4 linked regions of the Drosophila melanogaster genome follow. The gene in region 1 interacts genetically with each later gene. Each region holds a gene or a part of one and is shown in the gene's direction. Other genes may lie near its edges.

Region 1 (5,657 bases):
TCTTTTAATCGGTTATGCTGGCTTCGAAACCAAAGTAAACCGGTTGGGAGCAAGCGGTTTATTTATAGTAATATATATATATATAGTGTCTCTCTTCCTCTCTGGAGCTCTGTTTAGTTTTACTGTCGCTCAAAAAGCTGGAAATTCCCAAGCCGCAGTCAACCTCTATCAGTGCCAATACCAGTACCCCTTTTATTCCCTCATAGACTTTAACACTCATCGATCTTGTGTGTGTCTGTGTGTGTGTGTAAATATATGAGAGCCTTTGTGCGCCAGTACAACATCATTATCGGTAGCTTCACTTCACTTCACTTATATAGACGATGTTGTGATCGCTGTGGCTGCCTTTGTCATTTATCTGCCTTTCAACGTGAATATATGTACAATGATAATAATGATGTTTTATTTTTGTTATCATATGGAGTCATTACAATCCTATTTACAGGAAGACTGGTAATAGCAGAGAAATATATTAAAAATGAAATGGATATTTGCCAATAAGATCTGCTATCATCACCGACCTTCAGTTCAAAGCCCTCAACAGAGAAGTACGTTCGATGATTTATATTGGTAAAAAAAAAAAGAAACTCCTTCGAAATGTTTATGTTTTTAACTTGCGCATCAAATGATGAGCTGAAACTATGACGACATGGAAAGCTAATAAACTAGTGGGTGTGCCTTTTAACCCTCTTTTCATCAATGACCTAAAGTCCAACCTGCCCAAAAGAGTGACGTACATACATTCATTGACTAATTAATCTCACGGCGCCTTAAAAAAAAAATTATACCTACAACGCGGAACGAATTTTTGGCCAAAACAATGACGAGAGTACGGCACGTGTAAAAACCAAAAAGAAGAAGAAAAAAACACATATGCGAAGAGGGAACCAAAAAAGTAAAAATAATTAATAATAATTAAGGTAAGAAAATATGTGGAGGTAGGTATATTAAAATAGCTATGGTGATTGATTTCGCAACCGTTGTAAAGAAATTATTATCTGCTTCATTGGAAATGATTTACAATAATTACTGGCATTTTTCGCAATAAAATAATGGGTCAACAAAGAATAGATTGCCTGGCTACAAAAGGCATAAATCATTAGATGTTTCGGTGTAGAACTTTAACTGCAATAAAATAATACATTTTAAAGGCCACTCAACAAGCTTATCAGTAAGTCAGGAACACTGAGAGAAAAAATATTATAAATAGTCTACAACTATTTCGATTAAAGCTCGTTGCGCTTTCCACTTATAATTATATTTTTATTTTTCTTTTCTGTAAGCGTGTTCGGAATTCGTTTCGCCAATTTGTTGCTCTTTACGTTTTATCCATCAACAGTTTCCCGGCGCCCTTTTCAGACTATCAGAGATCGCCGAACCGCCGTTCGCCTATAATTACATTAAATATTTTTCAACACAAGTACAATGGGTCAAGCTGGAATTGGAAGAGAAAAAAAAGAGCTATGTACACATGTACATATGTATACATATATATATATATAACTGGCCTGTACCACAAAGTGAAATAGCCAAAAACCGATTGCGGGCCGCAAAACAAAACAATTCTCGGAAATGGTAGCGCAATTTAAAATGTTCACATTTTTGCCCACACTGCAATGTCTGTAAGTGTTTTGGTAGACGGGAGAGAGCCGGAGATTTGTGTTGTTTATTGGTTGAATAAATAAAAAATATATATATTTATATACATACATATGTACATATATAATACGTATACGCCGATTTGTCTGTGTCGATGTCGGTGCGGACGACTAAACAACTAAACAAAAACAAACAGTCATCGTCAGGTGGGAGAAGTTGGAGAGACCATTCTCGAGCCACGGGGCGTAGCTGGAGGTATCGTTATAAATTTGACTAATATCTGGAAGATTTATAAAAAAAAACCCGAAATCGAGAACAGGTTCCGCGACTTAATGACGCTCGGAAAAACCGAAATATGCAGCTCGCCAGATGCAGTTATCGGAATTCTTTCGGTTTCTTGGGATCACTCGCTTTTCGTTTAAACCAGTTTCGATTGAGAAAAAGTTGTACCGCTATCATAAGTTATTAAAATGTACAGTTTTTTTTAAGGAAAATTTAAATCATTGCATTTTATTGGTTAACGCTAGATTACAAAAAGGATAGAAAATACAACAGAACGCGTTCATATTATGTAATATGTAAACACTATATGTTAAAAAATTATATTTTCTAAAACGATTTAGAAGTTTTTTGGAACAAGGCTTTTGAGTTGCACTCTTAAGATCTTTTGAGAAATCACTTATTAAAATGCAAATCGGTAACAAGTTGGACTGCCTGAAAATCGGACTCAAATTAAACAACTTTGGTTAAATAAACGCAAAAACGCCGACCGCTCTCTCCCCATCATTCTCTTTGTTTTTTTTTTCTCAGCGATCTGCTCTCCCTCACACACGCTCCCCACACGCTGCCATATCAGACGCTCCAGCTTTTCAGGCCGCTGCGATTTGATCGCCGCTCAGTTGATCAGAGTCACTCGAACGCGCCGCTGCTCAACGATTCGAAATTGGCGCGAAACGGTATAAAAAGTTCGACTTACAAATTGGCTATATAGTATAGACGCTCAAATATCAAACGAGCTGCAACGGTTTTCGTCGGCAATTTAAAGTGCGTAACGATATGCAAAGTGTTAATATAGAATAGAATATAGAGTGATTATATAGAATATTACACACCGCAAAATAATCATAATCCTATTATATGACTAGTGACAAATAATTGAGCAATTATATCGATATTTAAGTGCAAACTAGTTTGTTTCTCCAATCGTTTTATGTTCCAGGAATGTTAATTAGCCTTTCGAAACACGAAAGGAAGTGAAAGAAATTCGTGGAAGTGAAAAAGAAAACATGCTATCGAAACATCGATCGAAAATCAATTAATTTGCACATAGGCCATATTTAATGATAATTTTGAAAACACGTAAAACATCAGAGTTGTTAATTATTATCGATTCTCCAAACAGAATACAACCAAAACAAAGAGCACCCATATTGTGATGATCTGTGCGTGTATTAGTGACAATGGCCGCCGCTCCCGTGCACGTGTATTGGTGCGCTCGGTAAACTCAAAATGCCATTCCGTTTCTCATTTGTAGCCGTTGTCGTTATTCGGTGTATTCCATTTGGTGTTATCTCAAAAGCGTGCTCTGTGCCAACTCTCTAGAACATCGATTCTAAAGTATAAAGTCGCTACCCTCCAAGGCACCCTTTCAATTCTATCGAGTTTATCACAATTCGCGGAATTCTTTAAAATAGAGTTACTGTTTTGAAATTGGCACACCTCTTCGGAAACCTTCGTATCTACGTATCATCAAGACGTCACGGCATATGCCCATAATGATCTTTCAGCCTTTTGAAGACGTCACTCGTGGCTTTCGAATATCCAAAATTAAGCATAACATGCATATGTATGGGTAACAACTACTACTTTTGTGTTTCTCGGAATCCACTTAAGTAAATAGACTACGTCAATGATTATAGCTAATTTGCATAAGCCTTGCATTCGTGCGAGCTTACTGACCAACTATTTGAATCGAATTTGACGAGTATACAATATAAGTCAACTGTATACATACACATATATTCCAGCACTATTCAATACCCTTATATCTTAATTATACAAACTTCACTGCCATACAACAGCAGCAACGTTTTTTATTCGCGTTTTAAAAACTCTGTTGGCAATCGAGCTTATCAACAATCGTGTATACATGAACTAAAAGCGTTGATTGTACTTATAAATCATATTGCAACTGAACGATCTAATGGATTGTGATAACAATAAAATCACTTTTATAAAGCATGTGTAATTGAAAAGTATTAAAGAACTGACGAAATATTTTTCTAAATTGTGTGTGTTATCCAAACCGTTTAATAATGCTCAAAGCTATCAAATAAATATCACTTAGCTTATCGCATAATATAATATCAGCAATACATTGTTAAAATATATACATATATTTATCAATGTTCTAAAAACACTTGCACACAAGGGAATTATGTGGTTTTATCAAAAATAAAAAAATCAGTGCACCATAAAGCCAAAGTGCCTCCCCAAAGTTAAGCCCACTTTAGCCCAATTCAAACAAAAAATTTCTTCGAAATTTGACAACGTTTGACTAGCTTATTATCATCAAGTTAACCGGGACCAACAAAAAAAAAAACGTATACTTATTTGCAGATGCTCATGATGTGATGTTTGCCGAGAGCTGTGCCTAGTCAGCCGTTTTGCCATACGAAAAATAATGTACCGCCCAATCTGCTAAATAGGAAGGCTAACACATAACGCTCAGAGATCCAGAGAAAATATCAATCTGGTTACGTGACTGTCACGATAGTTCGACATGCCTTTTAGCAATGAAACGGAAATGAGCCAATGTTCCAATGCGAAACGTAGAGTAAACGATCCGTTGACTGGACCAAAAAACTGCAGTACTTCGTCCACAGACTCGGGCGTTATACTAAACGATAATGTGGCGGCATTCCGGCCGGAGAAGGAGACCAAAGATCGGGGGACGGGCGAAGGGCAGTTCCAATCGAAATCGGAAGAGAAAACGGAATCCAAGCGTATCAGCGTTGAGCACACTGTCAATATAACAACGGAAAATGTTGGAAAGACATCTTCGCCGGCGGTTTCCATACGGAGTACCACAATTTCCGTTGTGTCCATCGATGATAATGCCATCGACTCGAGTAGTATTGATAGTGATTCGGAGGCCGAAGCGGAGGATTATACGGTCCAGAAGCTGGGTCACCAGGTCACCTACCCGCCCAACAGTTCACACCTGCGCGACCTTAACCAGGGTCTAACGGTGATCAGTCGCCATGTGGCGCCAGGTGAGGCGGCAGTACCACCACCCAATCCCCTGGAAGCTGGCATTGTGGCCAAGCAAATACTGAACGGTAATCTGGCCGTGGCCACGCCCACATCGCCGGCGGGCGGTGCCACGCAGGGTATTGGCAGCATCGCCCTGACCAACTCCACAGATGTGACGTTCGGTGATAAGCATTTCTACGAGGGACCCGTGACGATACAACAGTTTCTCATCGATAATCGGGACAAGTGGAAACCGGGCGAGGGACCAGCTGGTGGACAGGATAACCCCGCATTCAATGGTGGTCCCAGCACGAATGGAAGTGCGCCGGGTAAGACATTCTAAGCTAATTTAATAGATTGTATTTTAAAATCTAAATCTGATATCGTTTAGTTTTTGTACACTATACTAAGAATGGAATCTTAAAAGTTGTAACTTTCGATTGCTTTCGCATCTTTCTGCATAGTTATTCTTGAGGATCGTTAGTTCGATAATTTCAACTTTTTAGTTTTCTATTCTAAAATATATATTTTCTGGGATATATATCCTTAAAACATATATATATTATTTTGCTATTTCCTGCTGCCTTTGTTTGCGTTTCATTTCTGTCTTCACCTTGCCGCGGTTCTGTTTGCTTTAATGGGCCAAAACTGAGCGCGTGTGACTATTTGTTTACTCAACCCAATTGGCCAGGTCTAACGACCGTGCTGCGAATGGTAGATTAGCAGATGGCCCACAAAGCAGACAGATTCATTGTATGCGCCTAGAACAAATACTACATGTTACTATAAAAACATATTAAATG
Region 2 (5,789 bases), on another chromosome or scaffold:
TGTCGCTGGTGGCAGATTATAGCGACTCCTCCGAATCCGATGAAGACAGCAGTGGCCAATTTTCCGAAGACGGGGAAACAAAGAGGTGACCTTCCTTATCGCCTGCTGTATGACATAGGATTCCAATTCTTGTGCATTTCCAGTGCGGCACCAGCCAAAAATGAGAAGACTCCTCCTCCCAAGTTGCCCAGTGCTAGCCAAGCTTTTTCCCAAGGAGCTGGAAAGGGAGATGTGTTTAACAATCCCTTCCTGGAGGCCGAGCTGCATAAAACCGCGTCGCTGGAGCGGCACGTGAAGATGGTCGACAACGACGCGCACCAAAAGTTGAAGAATGGCCGTAAGATTTGCTGGAACTTTAGAAGGGGACGCTGCCGCTTTGGCACCAGTTGCCAGTATGCTCACGATTCCGACTTGTCGGTGGATGAGGCGGCGGAGAAGAGTGCATTACCGGATCAATCAGTGCCTGTGGTCGTAGAAGCTGCACCGGGTAATTTCAACAGGCGTAAGCGCCCGGGTCTGGGCGATGCTCTGGAGCCGGGCAAACGGGTTATGAAGTCCTACAAACAGCAAAATCCGCAAAATCCATTTGCCCGGCGTTAGACCACGCCTGCATCCGTGATGCGCAGCAGACAGTGCTCACCATCAGGGCCATATGTGTTCGAGATGACGTAAATGAAACGCAGGCCATCGTCCTGGAGGGTGAAGTCCTCTTCCTCTGGAAGCTCCACCGACAATCTGAGCGTGGCAACCGAGCTCCAGTAGGATCCCAACATGGGCTCCAACTGCTGTCGTGTCACTTCCTCATCGTCGCCATTTTGCTCTCCATCATCACCACAACTATCTATTAAGATAAAGTTGTAAATAGTTTTAATTCCGTAATTTACAAGTGAAACTAGCACATACCTTTATTGTTTTCAAAGAATGACACATTCCCAATGACAAAAGCCACGCCCCTGAGAGCTAGTTTCCGGATCTTGCAAGCCAATTCTGTCAGCACTGACTTTCTGACGTCCCGCATCCTACGGCCGCGATAGAAAGCGAAGCAAGCGGCAAGCGAATCAATAAGGACCAACTTCGTTTGCATGGAAGCATGTGTTTCAGCGGTCAATTGATGATCAAAGGATTTTAGCAGATCATTTATATCAGCACCAGTGGCAGCCTGCACCACCCGGATTCCTTTCATGGCCCTTTCACTGGCTTCTTCATCCACTTCCCTGGCCCGAAGCATGTCCTGTATTCTCTTACAGGAGAATTCCCGCTTGGTGTCTATGAATAATACTGCCTGGCTATGCTTCCAGACGAAATTTAGGGCCAACGTGTACAACAGCTGGGTCTTGCCTACGCCTGGTTGACCACAGAGTTCCCAGACTCTGCCTGGCTTAAAGGGCTGCTCTACGGAGTCCAACAGTTTGTCCAACCTGGTGTGTGGTCTGAGCTATAAAATCCGAAGTCCTGGTACAATCATAAAAAGACTTACTCTTCGATTCCTGTATCGTAATTGAAGTCCGGAGTGCCTTCATCAACTGAACCTTTTGGCAACAGAGACAATTCCTTCTTCAATTCCCGAACAGATTGTATGTTTATGGCCCATAGCTCGTGGAGTTTCTTCTCATCCGCATCATAAAAGTCGATCAAGGAGCATATGTTGTTCTTACGGAGTAAATTTAATTGGTATTCGGATAGCAATCTTCCCGTGCATGTTTGCAAAATCATAGGCCTGAGGTCCATTTTGGGCGCCTTTATTTATTTATATTCTTTTCAACAACGTATCGATATCGAACTATCGTCGATGATAGTTTGTCCACATTATAAATAATCGATAACAGTGCGGCTAAATTTAAATTTCACCAATCAGGAAAATAAATTGAAATGCATTTCAAAAATTACGAAAATATGTTTAATGTTTTAAATCTTATATTTTTAACCATATGTACTTGCCAAAGAAACTACATAAAGGTAAAGAAATTTCAAATTAGAGTAGTTTTGTGTACTAATTAAAGAGTCGATCATTTATTAACTAAACTAAGTTGGCACTCGATTCACAACATGCATATTAATGAGTGTTTATCTATTGTTTTGCAGCCACAACTCAGCTCTTACATTAGATACGGCACGTTGTGCCAATAAAAAAAAGTCCCTAAGAGGAAATGCTCAGTACGAAACTGACTCACGTGTGGGGATCACAAAAAAACTACAGTGTTCCCTCGATATCAACAATTTAAATTGGTCATGCAATATAAACGAAAGTTTCTGAATAACACCAGTTGGTACGCTAAGGATAAAATAGGAAATTGTAATAAATAAAAAGTTAATAATTTATTACGGAACTACTTTTGCTCTTTTACGATAAGAGGCTTCACAATAGGAGAGCATACTTCATACTGCATGTACATATGCCTTCTGAGTGAGAGCTCCCACACATACATAAGTGTATCCCGTCTCTTTATCTGAAATCTTGTCGCCTCTCGTTAAAGGCAATGAATCCATTTCAAGACTCAGTTGAGTTACAGAGATGAACGAAGAACCTCACGCCCACGAAAATTTGGTTGCCAAAGCTCAGAGATCCGGCGATGCGGATCCGGAAGTTGCCAGCACAGCTAGCGAGAAGCAGCGCAGTTCCGGTGCGTCAGCTATTGCAGTTGGTACAGAATTTCCAGGCAATCCTCAGGCTTCAAGACCCCAATCACTGGGCATGTATCTACTCGAACCATTTATTTTAATCCTGCTGTTTGCCTACAACTTTTCATGTAAGTCCAGTGAAATGATCTTAGGGCATTCGTATCACTAAGGCTATGTGTAATCGCCTGGATTTTAGCAACCGTTCTAAAGAATGAAGTCATCTACCAAAGCTGCACCGCGGGTTTCGGATATCCGGATAGCGTTTGCCAGCTGCTGGGCACTAAAAATATCACGAATGAAACAAAGGTGGGGATAATAACTCTGGAAGGGAATATAGCAATTGATTTAATATCCTGTTTTCCAGAGAATTGAGGAGCAGGTACAGCCATACGCTGCACAGGTCACACTGGCGATGCGATTGGTGGAGTGCTTTATTCCCGCTTTTTGTGGGCTCTTTGCTGGCTCCTGGGCGGACCACTATGGACGCAAGCCCCTTCTCATGTGCTCTTTTCTAGGTGGGTGTAAACTACCGCTGGTCAGAAGATGCCCATGTGCTTAACCTGTTATGCAGGCTACGGCCTTCAGTATCTCATTTCAGCTGCGATTGCCTACTGTGCCATGTACACCCAAGGTCTGGTCAGTCCCTGGTGGTATGTGCTATCCATCGTACCGCTCTCTTGCTTGGGAAGCAGTGTGACCTATTCCGTGGCTGCCGTCTGTTTTATTGCCGATGTCTCCGGCGGAAAAGTTCGATCTTACAGGTAGTTAGCCAAGGAATCGAGTGGATTTACTATTACTTATGGACTTATGCACCCTAGGATGATTGCCTATGAACTGGCCATATATGTGGGCCTACTCCTTGGTAGCCTTGGTTCTGGTTATGCATACGAGGCCACGGACGCCTACATTGTGTTCAGCATATCTGCAGTTTGCATTTTCACGGCTCTATTTCTGATGGCACTCCTACTACCGGAGAGTTTGCCCGCCAGAAATAGGACACTATCAACACCGACGACTGACACCAGTGTGGTTTCCATGCTGAAGAGTTTGTGGAGCACCTGCTCGAAGCCTCGTGAGCACCAGAATCGCTTCATGCTCACTACCATCATGGTAGTACTCCTCCTCACCGCCTTTGTATCGGGTAAGTTCCAAAAATCATAATTTAGCATGCAAGCGTCGTTTAAAATCGAGGTGATCATACGGGAAAGCCCTGAAAACGTTTATGAACCTAAATCGTTTTGGCACTTCAAGATTTCATAAATCGATTGAAATTCTGAAATGGGTTTGTTATTAATTGACACGTCCTTTTGTTTGTGGATAAGCATTGACAAAGATCTTGGTTTGATATATTCATTTTGGCTATCGCCAGACGGCAGCAACTCTGTGTTCTATAAGTTTATGAGGATAAAGTTCCATTGGACCGTAAAGCAGTTTACTGAGTACGAGACCGTTGGCATTCTTGTACCCGCAGTGGCTGGTTCAGGTGGAGTTCTCTTTATTTGGTCGCTCCGCAAGGTGAGTTGTATGTGATAGCTAGCTAAATTGGTGCTTGACCTATGACCCATGACCCCTTTGACTGACAGTGCACCAATTCGGCGATTCTGTGGCTGGCACTGGTTTCCCTGCTGAGCCACTGCTCCAGCAGCCTGATGAAGGGCTTCGCCTTGGAGAGCTGGCAGATATACGTGGCTATTGGGCTGGGCGTTTTCAAGTCGCTTGTGAACCCCATGTGCCGCACCATGATCACCAATTTGCTGCCGGCTGATGAGCGCGGTAAGTACGGATGGCATGCCTTATGATCATGTTCTTAACACACATATTTGTGGTTTCCCCTTTCTAGGCAAAATCTTTGCCCTGCTTGGTGTCTTGCAAGCACTTTCCCCCCTCATATCTTCCACCTTGTACGTTGCGATCTACACCCGTACACTGAACACTGAACCGGGGATTTTCAACGTGTTTAGCGCCTTCTTATTTGGCATCGGTATTATTCTGCTGGGGTAAGTTTCTATGAACCTCGAGTGCGATAAATTTCTAATGTGTTCCATACCAAATATTTCAGCACGGTTTGGCACAAAAAGTCAAGAAATCTGGTGTACTATGAGCCGGTTTTTAAATGATTTATGGGGGAATCAAAGTTTCATGGAGAATGGAAGAAAGCGCCAGTCATGTCAAGTTTTGGCTATCACTTACACAGGTGGACTGGACTGGCTATGGGGACTCCCTCGACAAACTCTTTACGCGAAATCCACTCATCCGTATATCAACTCGAACCTATTTACATACTCGATTGTCGCGTAATAACCTATACAAATCCAAGCGTAGAGTTTGGGGAATTGTGCTTTGCCAATATCTCGAGATCTCACTCTGCCTTCCCTGGGGAAAAATCGTTTAATTACAGAAGCAAAATATTTTCTCATTAACAAAAATATGGGTTATTATTGCAGCCAAGCTGTGGCGTGTGCGCAGTCACTTGACAATTCTTACGGAATATCTATAAAAATGTCAGGATGTGCACACTTTTGTACACCAACGATTGGTGCTAACTACGGATCTGAGCGAGCGCTAATTCCACTTGCTAATTTTAAATTAGTCGCCAGATTTTTTACACCCTTGATCGAAATGGGTCTTGTGGCCGCAATCTACTCGAAACCCGAATGGAACTCAATTTACGCACAAATTTAGTGGCCCAACGGAGCAGAACGAAATCCCTGGAATTCTGGGTGGATTCAAGCCGACCGTATCGCATGAATTGTCATCGGGCCAATTAAAATGAATGTAAAAAATGATCAAAATCAAAATACCATTATAATTATAGCGATTTTATTCTTGCATAAGCTTAAATTTCCATTCCGCGATTTTCAATTTATTTAACTGATAACAAAAAACAGTGGACACATACACCTGTATAACCATTACTTGTGGTACGAAACGTGCACAGATACACATTTACTTCATCAGTTGTTCCTCTCGGTAAGTTTGCCCATTGGTCAGTGGAACCACTAACCACTTTTTAGACTCCCATGGCTCTGGCTCGTGCTACTCATTTGCACAATTCAAAGATGAAATCAAACCAAACATCCAAACTACGCTTCTCACGTTTTCCCTACCCAACTTTCGGTGAGTTGAGCTGGTAAGGTAGGGCTCCAGATCCAATTTAGCCCGTCCGGCGG
Region 3 (3,782 bases), on another chromosome or scaffold:
GAAGGCCATCCGCCCATAGCCCTGCAAGGCCAGCTGGTAATTGGCTATAATGTCCGGAGTGGCATTGGAGACAGCCTCAAAGGTGACCGCCATGAAGCTCTCGGACAGATTGAATACGATGCCCACAATCTCGGAGAGCACTTCCAGTTCTGTGACGGCGAGCCAGAGCGTCACCATGGAACTGAAAAACGTGAGGATAATAAACAGCTAGGAAGGAAGGTTGATACCCATTCGAGTCTAATCAGCACGCAGTGGTGCTGCTTTGGATCTTCTTACGTGGTGATAGCTGGGCGGCACATCCGTTCGAGAGTGCAGGAAGATCACAATGGCTAGCGGGACTGTAAGGCACGGCGACCACATGGAGATGCTGAAGTCGAGGGTTATGTGCCAGGTTTTGTAGACGCTGGACACCCCAGCTGAGGGTCAGCGAGGTTTAGGAATCAAATGCACTTCTGATGTACTCCCGCATACCTACAGTGCACCAGGGTAATGACCACGAAAGGATTCGTCACGATCTGCGTGCAGTTGAGCAGCTTACTCCAGCCGTGCTTGATCTTTTCGTAGTCCACCACGGGTATGAAGAGCTGCAGTACGAACACCAGGGGGCACCTGGCAATCAGGTATATTCGATTGCTCCACCCACCCAGCTGCCACGCCTCTGCATCAACGGGATTGAGAGACTGGAAGAACTCCGTGAAAAGTTGTAGGTTTTTAGGATTCTCCGAGTCATGGAGCGCTGTGCGATTTAACTCGTAGTCAACGTGTTCGGATCGTCTTTCTGGGATGGGGGTTACAAAGTAGCCACTACTGGTCATATTTGAGAAGTGGTTTCCCGTGTCTCTGGACCGACGGTACTTTGTGGTGTCCTTAATCCCAATGTCATCCTGCTCTTCCCAAGATATTAGCTTTCTTATCTTTGCATTTATTTCTGTTATTGGTGGAGGAGTTAGGCCCTCCAAATAGTCCAGTTCTCTTCGAAGTTCTGAATGGTAAATGTAATTAGTTGCTATTATAACTAGAGTAATTAAAAAATTGGGGGAATATTCCTTACTTCTGATGTAGTACCGCAGCAACGCCAAATCAGCTATATTAATAGCCACGTAAACAACGTAAATTAAGAAGAGCACTGAAAGTAGGTTTTAAAGATCAGTGAGTTGAGGCAAATCCAAAATAGATTCCTACCTATACCCTCTCCCAGGGTCACTGCTCCCTCCTTGATCATCACAAACCTCAGGACCTCCACACCCAGGAGAAGAAACAGTAGATCTCGCAGAGTGGAATGTCCGTTCATCCTAAAGGGTCTCAGAAAACACACTGTACCTCCACTCAGCAGAATGATGGCCAGAGTATTACCCACAGTTATGGTAAAGATGGGTGCATCGGCCCTCACGGGCATCAGATTAGCTATTATTTCTGGACTGCAGTTACCAAAAGCCAGAAAGGTAACTCCTGCCAGGTACTCATTCATGTGCAGCTTTAGCGAGATGATCTTGAGGACTGGAGAAAAACTTAATGCAGGATTTCGAATGAGCAATCAGAGGAATGTGCACTTTATCCAAAAACTTACTAGGTACCAATATTGAAGGACATCAGCCACAGAAACGCCACACATATGAAGGCAAACAGCAACATGAACAGGACCTCTGTTGCTTTGTCATCGATGTCAATTGAGCAGTACATCATCCTGAAGTAATTGAAAAAGTTTATAATGCGCTTGCAGTCACTCACTTGGGTGGCCATCCTGCAGCGATAGTTGTACGGAAGTCTCATCACGGCCCTACAACTCATCTGTAAGAGCCAACAAATGCTATGGCCACCAATTTCTCACTGTATTCTCACAATATCTTACATTCTTGATGAAGTAGTGAAATTCGTGGTCCAGTTCTGTTATGTTAAATTTAGTCCTTTTCGTTCGCCCACTCATTGTATTCAAATTCTTCCCTCAAAGTCAAAAGAATATGCTGAGAATTAAATTTAGAACTGACGAGAATCGAACAACACTCCTTGACTTTTTCTACAAAGACATTCAGGTGACCGGCCAATGTGTCGACCCCAGCACATTGATAAAGCATTTATTTAGAAGAACCACATTCATAAAACGCTGAATAAATCAACACCCGAAGATTGCGATTGTGACGAGGCTCACGCCAAGGGTCTTCCCCTAATACGAACCTAAACATGTGCCATCGACGAGGGCTGTAAATTAGCCATGAACCACCAGATAAGATGGCAACCCATACGCATAACTGATGCTATATAAGCGCCACGGCGACCCACGATCTCCATCAAGCGATCGTCAACTATTACAGCTGGTAATCATGGTTTCCAAAGTGGCTCTCCTCCTCGCCGTCCTGGTCTGCAGCCAGTACATGGCCCAGGGCGTCTATGTCGTCTCCAAGGCGGAGTGGGGTGGTCGCGGCGCCAAATGGACCGTAGGCCTGGGCAACTACCTCAGCTACGCCATCATCCACCACACCGCCGGCTCCTACTGCGAGACCCGTGCCCAGTGCAACGCCGTGCTGCAGAGCGTCCAGAACTACCACATGGACTCCCTGGGCTGGCCCGACATCGGCTACAACTTCCTGATCGGCGGAGACGGCAACGTGTACGAGGGGCGTGGCTGGAACAACATGGGCGCCCACGCCGCCGAGTGGAACCCCTACAGCATCGGCATCAGCTTCCTGGGCAACTACAACTGGGACACCCTGGAGCCGAACATGATCTCCGCCGCCCAGCAGCTGCTCAACGACGCCGTCAACCGTGGCCAGCTCAGCTCCGGCTACATCCTGTACGGTCATCGCCAGGTCAGCGCCACCGAATGCCCCGGCACCCACATCTGGAACGAGATCCGCGGCTGGTCCCACTGGTCTGGCTAGGTCCTTGACACAAACCACGCTAAATAAAGTTAAACGCACCATAATCGTGTTTTTTGTCTTGGCAATACATTGGTTTATTAGGCAGTCGGGCGAATCTGAATATTGTCTTGGAAGCCATGGACCCACTGCAACTCTATGGCCGTAGTGTAAACTAGGAACAACACGAATAGGGACCACATGAACAGCCCAGCGGATCGGCGGGCAACAAAGTTGAAGGTGAGGCACCACCACAAGGTGGTTGTGATGGTTATCACCAGGAATATGTAGATGGTTACACCGTCATCTCCATACAAGACTACTTGACCGCGGGAGTTGAGTTTCTTCTGTAAGACCAATTCGATGCCCACATTGACTGCCAAACCTGCGGGAAAAGACTGTTTTACTTATGACCTCTACAATGACCTTAAAGCAGAAGCCAAATCATTGATTGATGATTGATGAGCATGATTCCTAGAGAAACTGGTTTTCTGAGATTTGAAAACAATTTTAGATGCTGAAAATTGACATTGGATAGTCTAGCACGCAATTATCGACTTTTACCACTAACTATAAACAGAACCACCGATGATGGCTCCAAAAGCCATCTTTCCGTATCCATGCTTGGCGAGATGTGCGTAGGCTATTAAGTCAGCTGTGGCAGCGGACACCGAGTTGAAGGTGATGCTCATGTAGGACGGGGCCAGATCAAAGACGACCCCAATTATGGATATCAGCGCATCCATTTCCCAGGCACAAATCCAAAAGAATATAATCACGGTGGAGATTGTAAGCGCGCAGTAAGACTGTCGAAGTTTAAGGGTAATTTATTGCTTTCTCTAAAGAAATCGATCTTACCGAGTGATAAAATGGCGGGATGTCAGTGCGAGAGTGCAAGAATACAACTATTGCCAGGGGCATCGTTACCAG
Region 4 (6,881 bases), on another chromosome or scaffold:
GATCAACTCGCGGATCTCGCTGGGAAACTGATGCCAGCGATCCTGGTACTGTTGGCTGACCTTCTCGTCCTTGCTGGTCAGGTGGTTCTTCAGCTGGAGACCGGCTGCCATTCGCGCCACCGCACTGTTGGCCGTGTTCACCAGTATCTCTGACAGCGCCTTGAGAAACTCGGGCAGGTTGCTGGCCGCCGCCTGCTCCAGAAAGTTCTTCGCCGATAGCAGCTCATTTTTGTCTGAAAATGCGTCATTTGGTTGGTTAGACATTTTTAATTTCCAATTATGTCAACGAAAGATTTTATTTGTGGGCCTACACACGCCCACCATTTTGGGTCGGCTTAAAGCTTTGGTATCAGGCCATTGAATTTTACAACAATTGACTTTTGGGAATGTGAAGGCAAGATAGGAACTTTTAGGCAAGGCGTATATAGTGAGAATATTGTTTAATAAGAATACAATAGATGGTGAAAGAAGTGTGTGCATATGAAGAGCTAAGCAGTAAGGTCTAGTAATGAATTGTAGCGGTGGAGCATAAAATCTTCAGGCAAGGGGCAAGTTTGCAGGCATTCCTTATCAGCAACCGGAAGAACTGGCCGCCAAGCATACGGTGGTGACTCCGAAGCGACGCCTCATCGATTCCTAGAGTTAGTGAGGTTATGTCGCAGGCGGTTCGTACATCCTTAATTGTAGGAGCGCAAGCATTGCGAATACATACAGACGCGCCGCCAAGTTTCCCTTGGAGTATGTACGTGGATGCACATGTGTGCGGAGGCCCCTAGCAACCAAACATATGCGAGCGCCTATTGCAACCCTGCGCAACATATAACGCGCGTCCCTCCCGCCAATCGAAGAAAAATCCATATTTTTCGGATCTATACACACACGTTTGTAGCAGTGGGGAAACTCACCTGGCGACACCGTCTTTTCCAAAATGGCAATCAATTGCATGGCGATATCGGAAGTCATGTCTTCGCTCTTTTCCTCTCTATATGATTTCTACTTCACTTTCCGTTTCTTTCTGCAGCTCGTGCGTCTGTGTGGGTGATGGAATTTTTGCGTAATTACTAGACAACACTAGTCTGTCGGCTGCAAATGGTGGAGACAAAAGAGTTAAAGTTATTGGGCTGCTCCGCTGAAGCTGGCGATTTTATTTCGACAGGTTGCAACACCTTGATTGTCAAAAGAATTGATTTTTTCGCACACACGCACACAACAAGCGCGTTCAGTAGAACTCTTCATTCTACTCACATTGTTGTTTGGTTATTTTTCGGGAACGGTAAAAAAGCGCGGGATTCCTAACGGCGATTTTCTTAGTTATTATTATAAGCCTATTTAATGGTGGCAGAACCTTTATCTGCTCTTCGGGAAGTGCAGGCAATATATTTCTTGTGTCTCCGATTTGAAATAGAGCTGAAACGAATGTCGATTTTTATTTGATAGCACTGAGTTTCGATGAAAAAGGCGACACCTATTCGATTGCTTTATTCGAACTATCGATAATTTTTAAATCTAATAACGTATTAATTAAATATTCTTAAATGCGTAGGAAATGTGCAACCATTTGACAAAATATATTATTAGTCAGGAACGATAAGACCAAAATACTTACTACTTGTATTAAAACGCGTTTGCCTCCCCAAAAATCAATCGTTAAATTTGAATGATTGTGCTTATCGAAAATTTTCATATTCAAAGATAAGCACGGAAGCAAAACCTCGAACGAACTAAATAATCGAATACTTTGACTTAAGAGTCGTAGGTAAAAAACTAACAAATGAACAAAATTTGATTACTATATTAAGAAACAGTGGATAAAAATAGTAATATCTTAGAAGTATCACACGTATACGTGTGTATATTGGTTGCATTCGCTTACTGAACAGGGGAATTAATTAATTTAAATATAAAAGTTTATTAAGTCTACCAAATTTCGTTTTGCACGTAATAATAATAAGAGCTAAAGGTTTTCGCGGTAATATTTAGCTTTGCAAATGCTGGTAGTTTTTTTGTCAGCCAGTTGGCAGCCCTCTCAGCTGTACTAGGTGGCAACGCTGCTACAGTGCTGACGTTCGGCAAAAAAGAGGAAACGTAGTAAAAACACTCGAAAAACTCCGTATATTCCGATAAATATCCAGATAGTACGGTTTGTGCGTGGCCCGCCGATCCGGAAAGTGTGGCAGAGAATCGCGGACACGGCCACGTTGTGATTACAACCCGTACAAGTAAAGGAAGAAGGTCTGCTACTCCTGCCGTTCGTTGGTTACCCCAATTCGAGATGATCCTGCTATCCGGACTTCTGCCGCTCCTGGGCGTCGTTCTCTTGCACCTTGCGACCCCGACACAGGCCTTCTATCTGCCCGGACTGGCACCGGTCAATTTCTGCAAGAAAACCGACGTCTCATCCACATGCAAGGTAGGTGTATACGTATGTGCAGAAGTGCAGATGTACATATGTACGTAGATAGTGGGTGTGTTTGCCCCACGCCCGCCACAATTAGCAAAGGCACTGGAACTAGTTATGTACATTGGTTCTATATTCCTCTAATGGTGGTCACAGGCGGAAGCACTGATAAGCGCAGTAACTAGTTATATGTGGGGTCCATATGTGGCCCTCTATCTCAACTTCTGCTGACGTTGCCTACGCCAGCTCTCTTTCCTAGCGACAGCTAGATGGGAGTTCTAATGTTGGTTCAGCTGGCTCGCGAATGCGATTTCGGGGGCTCCCGACCTTAAGAATCTTAACATAGTGGCGGCTAACCAATAATTGAACCAGGGAACGCGGTTAGCTTGTCATGCTTCCTTGCATTATGTTTGGGTTATTTTCTTTTTAGTAATAATAGTATAACACAATAACAATATAAATTCAGGACAAAGTATAATTTTTAGTTTGATATCCCAAATAGATGGGGTTAGCCCTTTTAAAAGATGACCTAACTATTGGATGATAAAGCGTGAGCTATTGGTTTTGTTTGCTTCATCTTATCTTTAAACAAATCTAAACAACTTTTTAATATACCCGTAGGTCAAGAAATCCTAATCGGTTTATACGCCCTTAAATTAGACGTTGCCCAATGATAAGAATTAATTAAGGTGTTTCACATTCAATTGTTTCTAACAATCTAAGAGAGCTTTTTGATAAGATAAATTTCTAAGAACCCAAAGTAAAAGCAAATTACGGGGTCAAATTATCGAACGCATTTGCAAACTTTTGGAATTTTTACCAAACTTTAATAATTATTTCCACGATAAGATTAAAATACACTAGTATTATCAACAGTTGTCAATCCAATTGATTGATCTAATTCCTGATTATCTTCTTCAGTCGGAAATCTTGTTGTACGTCAACCGCTTAAACACTGAGGAATCCGTAATACCCTATGAGTACCATCACTTCGACTTTTGTTTGGGCGAGGAGCAGAACTCACCGGTGGAGAATCTGGGACAGGTTGTGTTCGGAGAGCGAATTCGTCCAGGACCCTATAAAATTCAGTTCTTGGAAAACCAGCAATGTGCGACCGTAAGATTAAACAGTTTTAACGCATTACCAACATAATGATTTAATGACTCTTCGTATTTAGACCTGTGTCAAGACTTACAAAGGAGACGATCCGGCTAGCAACCGTCGTATGATGGTTCTTAAGAAAGGAATCAGCTTGAACTACCAACATCATTGGATTGTGGACAACATGCCGGTTACATGGTGCTACCCACTGGAGAACGGCAAGCAATACTGCGGAATTGGTTTTCCCATGGGTTGTCTAGTTCGCAGTGATGGCGAGGGTTGTCCCATCAACTCTATATATAACCAGCCAATGCATTATTATCCATTCAACCATGTGGATCTCGAGATTACTTATCACAGTGGACAGTCGGAGGACTGGGGAATTCAGTTCGGCAACAGTGGACGCATAATCTCTGTAAAAGTGACTCCCAAATCTATTAAGCACACCGATAAGGAAAACCCCAATTGCTTGAGCACAGAGCCACTGGCAATCAGTGAGAACTCTTTAAAGGCTGGAGAACAGCTGGAAATTGTCTACACGTACAGCGTGAAGTTTGTAAAGAACGATTCTATCAAATGGTCATCACGTTGGGACTACATTTTGGAATCCATGCCGCACACGAATATCCAGTGGTTCTCCATTCTCAACTCCCTGGTTATTGTCCTTTTCCTGAGTGGCATGGTGGCAATGATAATGCTGCGTACGTTGCACAAAGATATAGCCCGCTATAATCAGATGGATAGCGGTGAGGATGCCCAGGAGGAGTTTGGCTGGAAACTGGTACATGGTGATGTGTTCAGGCCGCCGCGGAAGGGCATGCTGTTGTCGGTATTCCTGGGTTCGGGTGTACAGGTGCTTGTGATGGCCATGATCACCTTAGCATTTGCCTGCCTGGGATTCTTGTCCCCAGCCAATCGGGGAGCCCTGATGACCTGTTCCATGGTCTTGTTTGTTTCGTTGGGTACACCGGCTGGTTACGTGTCTGCGCGTATCTACAAGAGTTTCGGTGGGCTGAAATGGAAGAGTAATGTCATCCTTACCTCGATCGTTTGCCCTGGGTAAGTTCTTTGAAATTAAAGCGATATTATTATTTAATCGTTTTTCTTTTTTAGTGTGGTCTTCTCATTGTTCTTCGTCATGAACCTGGTGCTGTGGGGGGAAAATAGCTCCGGAGCTGTGCCATTTAGCACGCTAATTGCTCTGCTTGCCTTGTGGTTTGGCGTCTCTGTGCCACTAACCTTTGTAGGAGCTTACTTTGGATTCCGCAAGCGCGTGAGTATATATTTAGCTAGTTTTTAAAATGGTTCCTTACATTTGTCTGTACGATTTCAGGCATTGGAGCACCCTGTGCGTACCAACCAGATTCCCCGTCAGATTCCGGACCAATCGATCTACACACAGCCTATTCCTGGAATCGTTATGGGCGGCGTTCTACCCTTTGGCTGCATCTTCATTCAGCTGTTCTTTATCCTGAGCTCGCTGTGGTCCAGCCAGATTTACTACATGTTCGGTTTTCTGTTCCTGGTCTTTGTCATATTGGTCATCACATGCTCGGAGACCACCATTCTGCTGTGCTACTTTCACTTGTGTGCGGAGGACTATCACTGGTGGTGGCGCTCCTTCCTGACGTCCGGCTTCACAGCAGTCTATCTGTTCATATACTGCTGCCACTACTTCGTCACAAAGCTTTCGATCAAGGACAGTGCCTCGACGTTCCTGTATTTCGGCTACACGGCCATTATGGTATTCCTGTTCTTCTTGCTGACCGGCACCATCGGGTTCTTCGCGTGCTTTTGGTTCATACGTAAGATCTACAGTGTTGTCAAGGTGGATTAAACCGCATAATTCAAGAAGGAGCTCGTGCGAATGTATTTTTGTATGTGTAGCCACAAATTTACACTTAAGCCTAATGTGTGTGTGATTTCTGCGCTGTGCGCCCGGCACAGACAGTTTTCTGTTTACTATAATTACGATTGATATGTGTATAATAACATATGTTTGTATCAGGCAAGGAACAGTGGAGTAACGAAGCGCGCAATAATTTTTAAGCAGTAAACAGCGAACGAGTTGGAGTTAAAACGACTTGAAGCATCTTTTGTATAGCTCTTCGTTCTGTTAATCTTTAGGCGTAAAATTTAGCATTGTCCATTTCCCAGCTCTAGCAACGATTCCAAGAAAAGAAGAAATTATCAAGAAAAAAAAAACTAAAATCCCTTTAAATGTACTGAGCTGCATAACGAAGTACTTTAAACCCCGTTCTCTACTTGTAATATCAAAGCCTAACAACTGTAATTAGTGGCTCGTCTTAGCCGTAATTCGAGCAGGATTGAATTCACGTGTAATATTTTAAATACTTTAGTTTAAACTATTTAAATCTAACTTGCGACTAAAGAATAAACAAAAATATAAATTACGAATCGAGCCCACTGCGACAAACTTTTTACTATCAACAGAACCAGCTCATTCTTTCAACCCTAGACAACTGACAGTTGTCAGTGGTTGCTTCTATGGCTTCCGTGAGCTGAGCCAATCGGGCAGTGTGAGTAAACATTTCCAGCTCAGAGCTTGTCTAGAGGCGCATCCATGTCAGATATTGAGGACAACGATGGGGACGAATACGATGAACTTTCGGAGCTGCGACAACGCCACAAGCCCGAATCCCAGCCCTCGGTGGATGTGCATATCTGTGAGACACGGTCCTTGATCTTCTCTAGATTTGCTGTTTTCTTTCCAGGAGGCCTTCGATCTGGACGACCTTCTGCCCACCATTGGCGAATTCGGCAAATACCAGAAGCTCTTGGTTTTCGGAATTTGCCTGCCCGCCTGCATACCGTGCGGTTTTTGTGCGTTTAACCAGTTGTTTATGGCTGATACTCCGGATGACTATTGGTGTCGCATCCCGGAGCTACTCGACTTGCCCCTGGAGCAGCGAAAATCGCTGTCCATACCCAAGGAACTGGTGAGTAATTGCAGCCATACGAGTGCCGAGGCTAAGGCAATCAAGTCAGCCCATTGATTGTGCGTTGCTTAAGGTGAAGGGTCGATACGAGGGTGGTTCGATGAGTAATCGAAGGGGCTAACAATGAAATGGGGGAGAGGTAAACCTTATATTCTATGCCTTCTATTATTTAAATATATTTTGAAATAACTGATGAAATAATTATTTCAAGGATAACGACGAACTGGTCTACAGCAAATGTTATACCTACGGAGTCAACTGGACGCAGCTCCTTGAATCGGGGGAAGAGGATGACCTGACGACCATGGAGCCGAATGCCAGTTGGCCACTGATCAAGTGCCCCCAGGGATGGGAGTACAACACAAGCGTCGTCTGGTCCTCCATTGTGATTGATGTGCGCAATCCAGACCACCAAGCCTTCA

What was found.
Region 2: of PGRP-LC (region 1) and CG8046, changing one enhances a phenotype caused by changing the other (phenotypic enhancement), as found in Drosophila melanogaster (one study listed by BioGRID).
Region 3: of PGRP-LC (region 1) and PGRP-SC1a, changing one suppresses a phenotype caused by changing the other (phenotypic suppression), as found in Drosophila melanogaster (one study listed by BioGRID).
Region 4: of PGRP-LC (region 1) and TM9SF2, changing one suppresses a phenotype caused by changing the other (phenotypic suppression), as found in Drosophila melanogaster (one study listed by BioGRID).

The regions. Positions count from the first base shown.
Region 1 is NT_037436.4:9,337,947-9,343,603, forward strand, and holds the start of PGRP-LC (peptidoglycan recognition protein LC), read left to right. Parts: upstream 1-2,491; 5' UTR 2,492-2,643; intron 2,644-4,218; 5' UTR 4,219-4,381; coding exon 4,382-5,183; intron 5,184-5,657. UniProt on the Drosophila melanogaster protein: Major activator of the imd/Relish pathway and is likely to encode a pattern recognition molecule for the humoral immune response. Required for Relish processing and nuclear translocation following proteolytic cleavage.
Region 2 is NT_033778.4:9,161,674-9,167,462, reverse strand, and holds CG8046 (uncharacterized protein), read left to right. Parts: upstream 1-2,495; 5' UTR 2,496-2,512; coding exon 2,513-2,747; intron 2,748-2,815; coding exon 2,816-2,925; exon of another isoform or gene 2,926-2,983; coding exon 2,984-3,134; intron 3,135-3,190; coding exon 3,191-3,380; intron 3,381-3,437; coding exon 3,438-3,760; intron 3,761-3,988; coding exon 3,989-4,134; intron 4,135-4,202; coding exon 4,203-4,392; intron 4,393-4,459; coding exon 4,460-4,616; intron 4,617-4,678; coding exon 4,679-4,736; 3' UTR 4,737-5,037; downstream 5,038-5,789. Other genes in the region: CG42382 (uncharacterized protein), read left to right, coding at 1-85, 144-600; Rad51D (Rad51 recombinase D), read right to left, coding at 597-841, 904-1,418, 1,478-1,728.
Region 3 is NT_033778.4:8,707,445-8,711,226, forward strand, and holds PGRP-SC1a (peptidoglycan recognition protein SC1a), read left to right. Parts: upstream 1-2,288; 5' UTR 2,289-2,318; coding exon 2,319-2,876; downstream 2,877-3,782. Other genes in the region: CG14744 (uncharacterized protein), read right to left, coding at 1-207, 277-416, 476-982, 1,052-1,126, 1,183-1,508, 1,568-1,788, 1,850-1,924; CG14743 (uncharacterized protein), read right to left, coding at 2,954-3,237, 3,424-3,658, 3,711-3,782. UniProt on the Drosophila melanogaster protein: N-acetylmuramyl-L-alanine amidase involved in innate immunity by degrading bacterial peptidoglycans (PGN). Plays a scavenger role by digesting biologically active PGN into biologically inactive fragments. Has no direct bacteriolytic activity.
Region 4 is NT_033779.5:20,729,455-20,736,335, reverse strand, and holds TM9SF2 (transmembrane 9 superfamily protein member 2), read left to right. Parts: upstream 1-2,026; 5' UTR 2,027-2,272; coding exon 2,273-2,410; intron 2,411-3,319; coding exon 3,320-3,514; intron 3,515-3,575; coding exon 3,576-4,558; intron 4,559-4,612; coding exon 4,613-4,772; intron 4,773-4,832; coding exon 4,833-5,336; 3' UTR 5,337-5,920; downstream 5,921-6,881. Other genes in the region: Fs(2)Ket (female sterile (2) ketel), read right to left, coding at 1-233, 906-963; CarT (carcinine transporter), read left to right, coding at 6,084-6,176, 6,235-6,459, 6,671-6,853.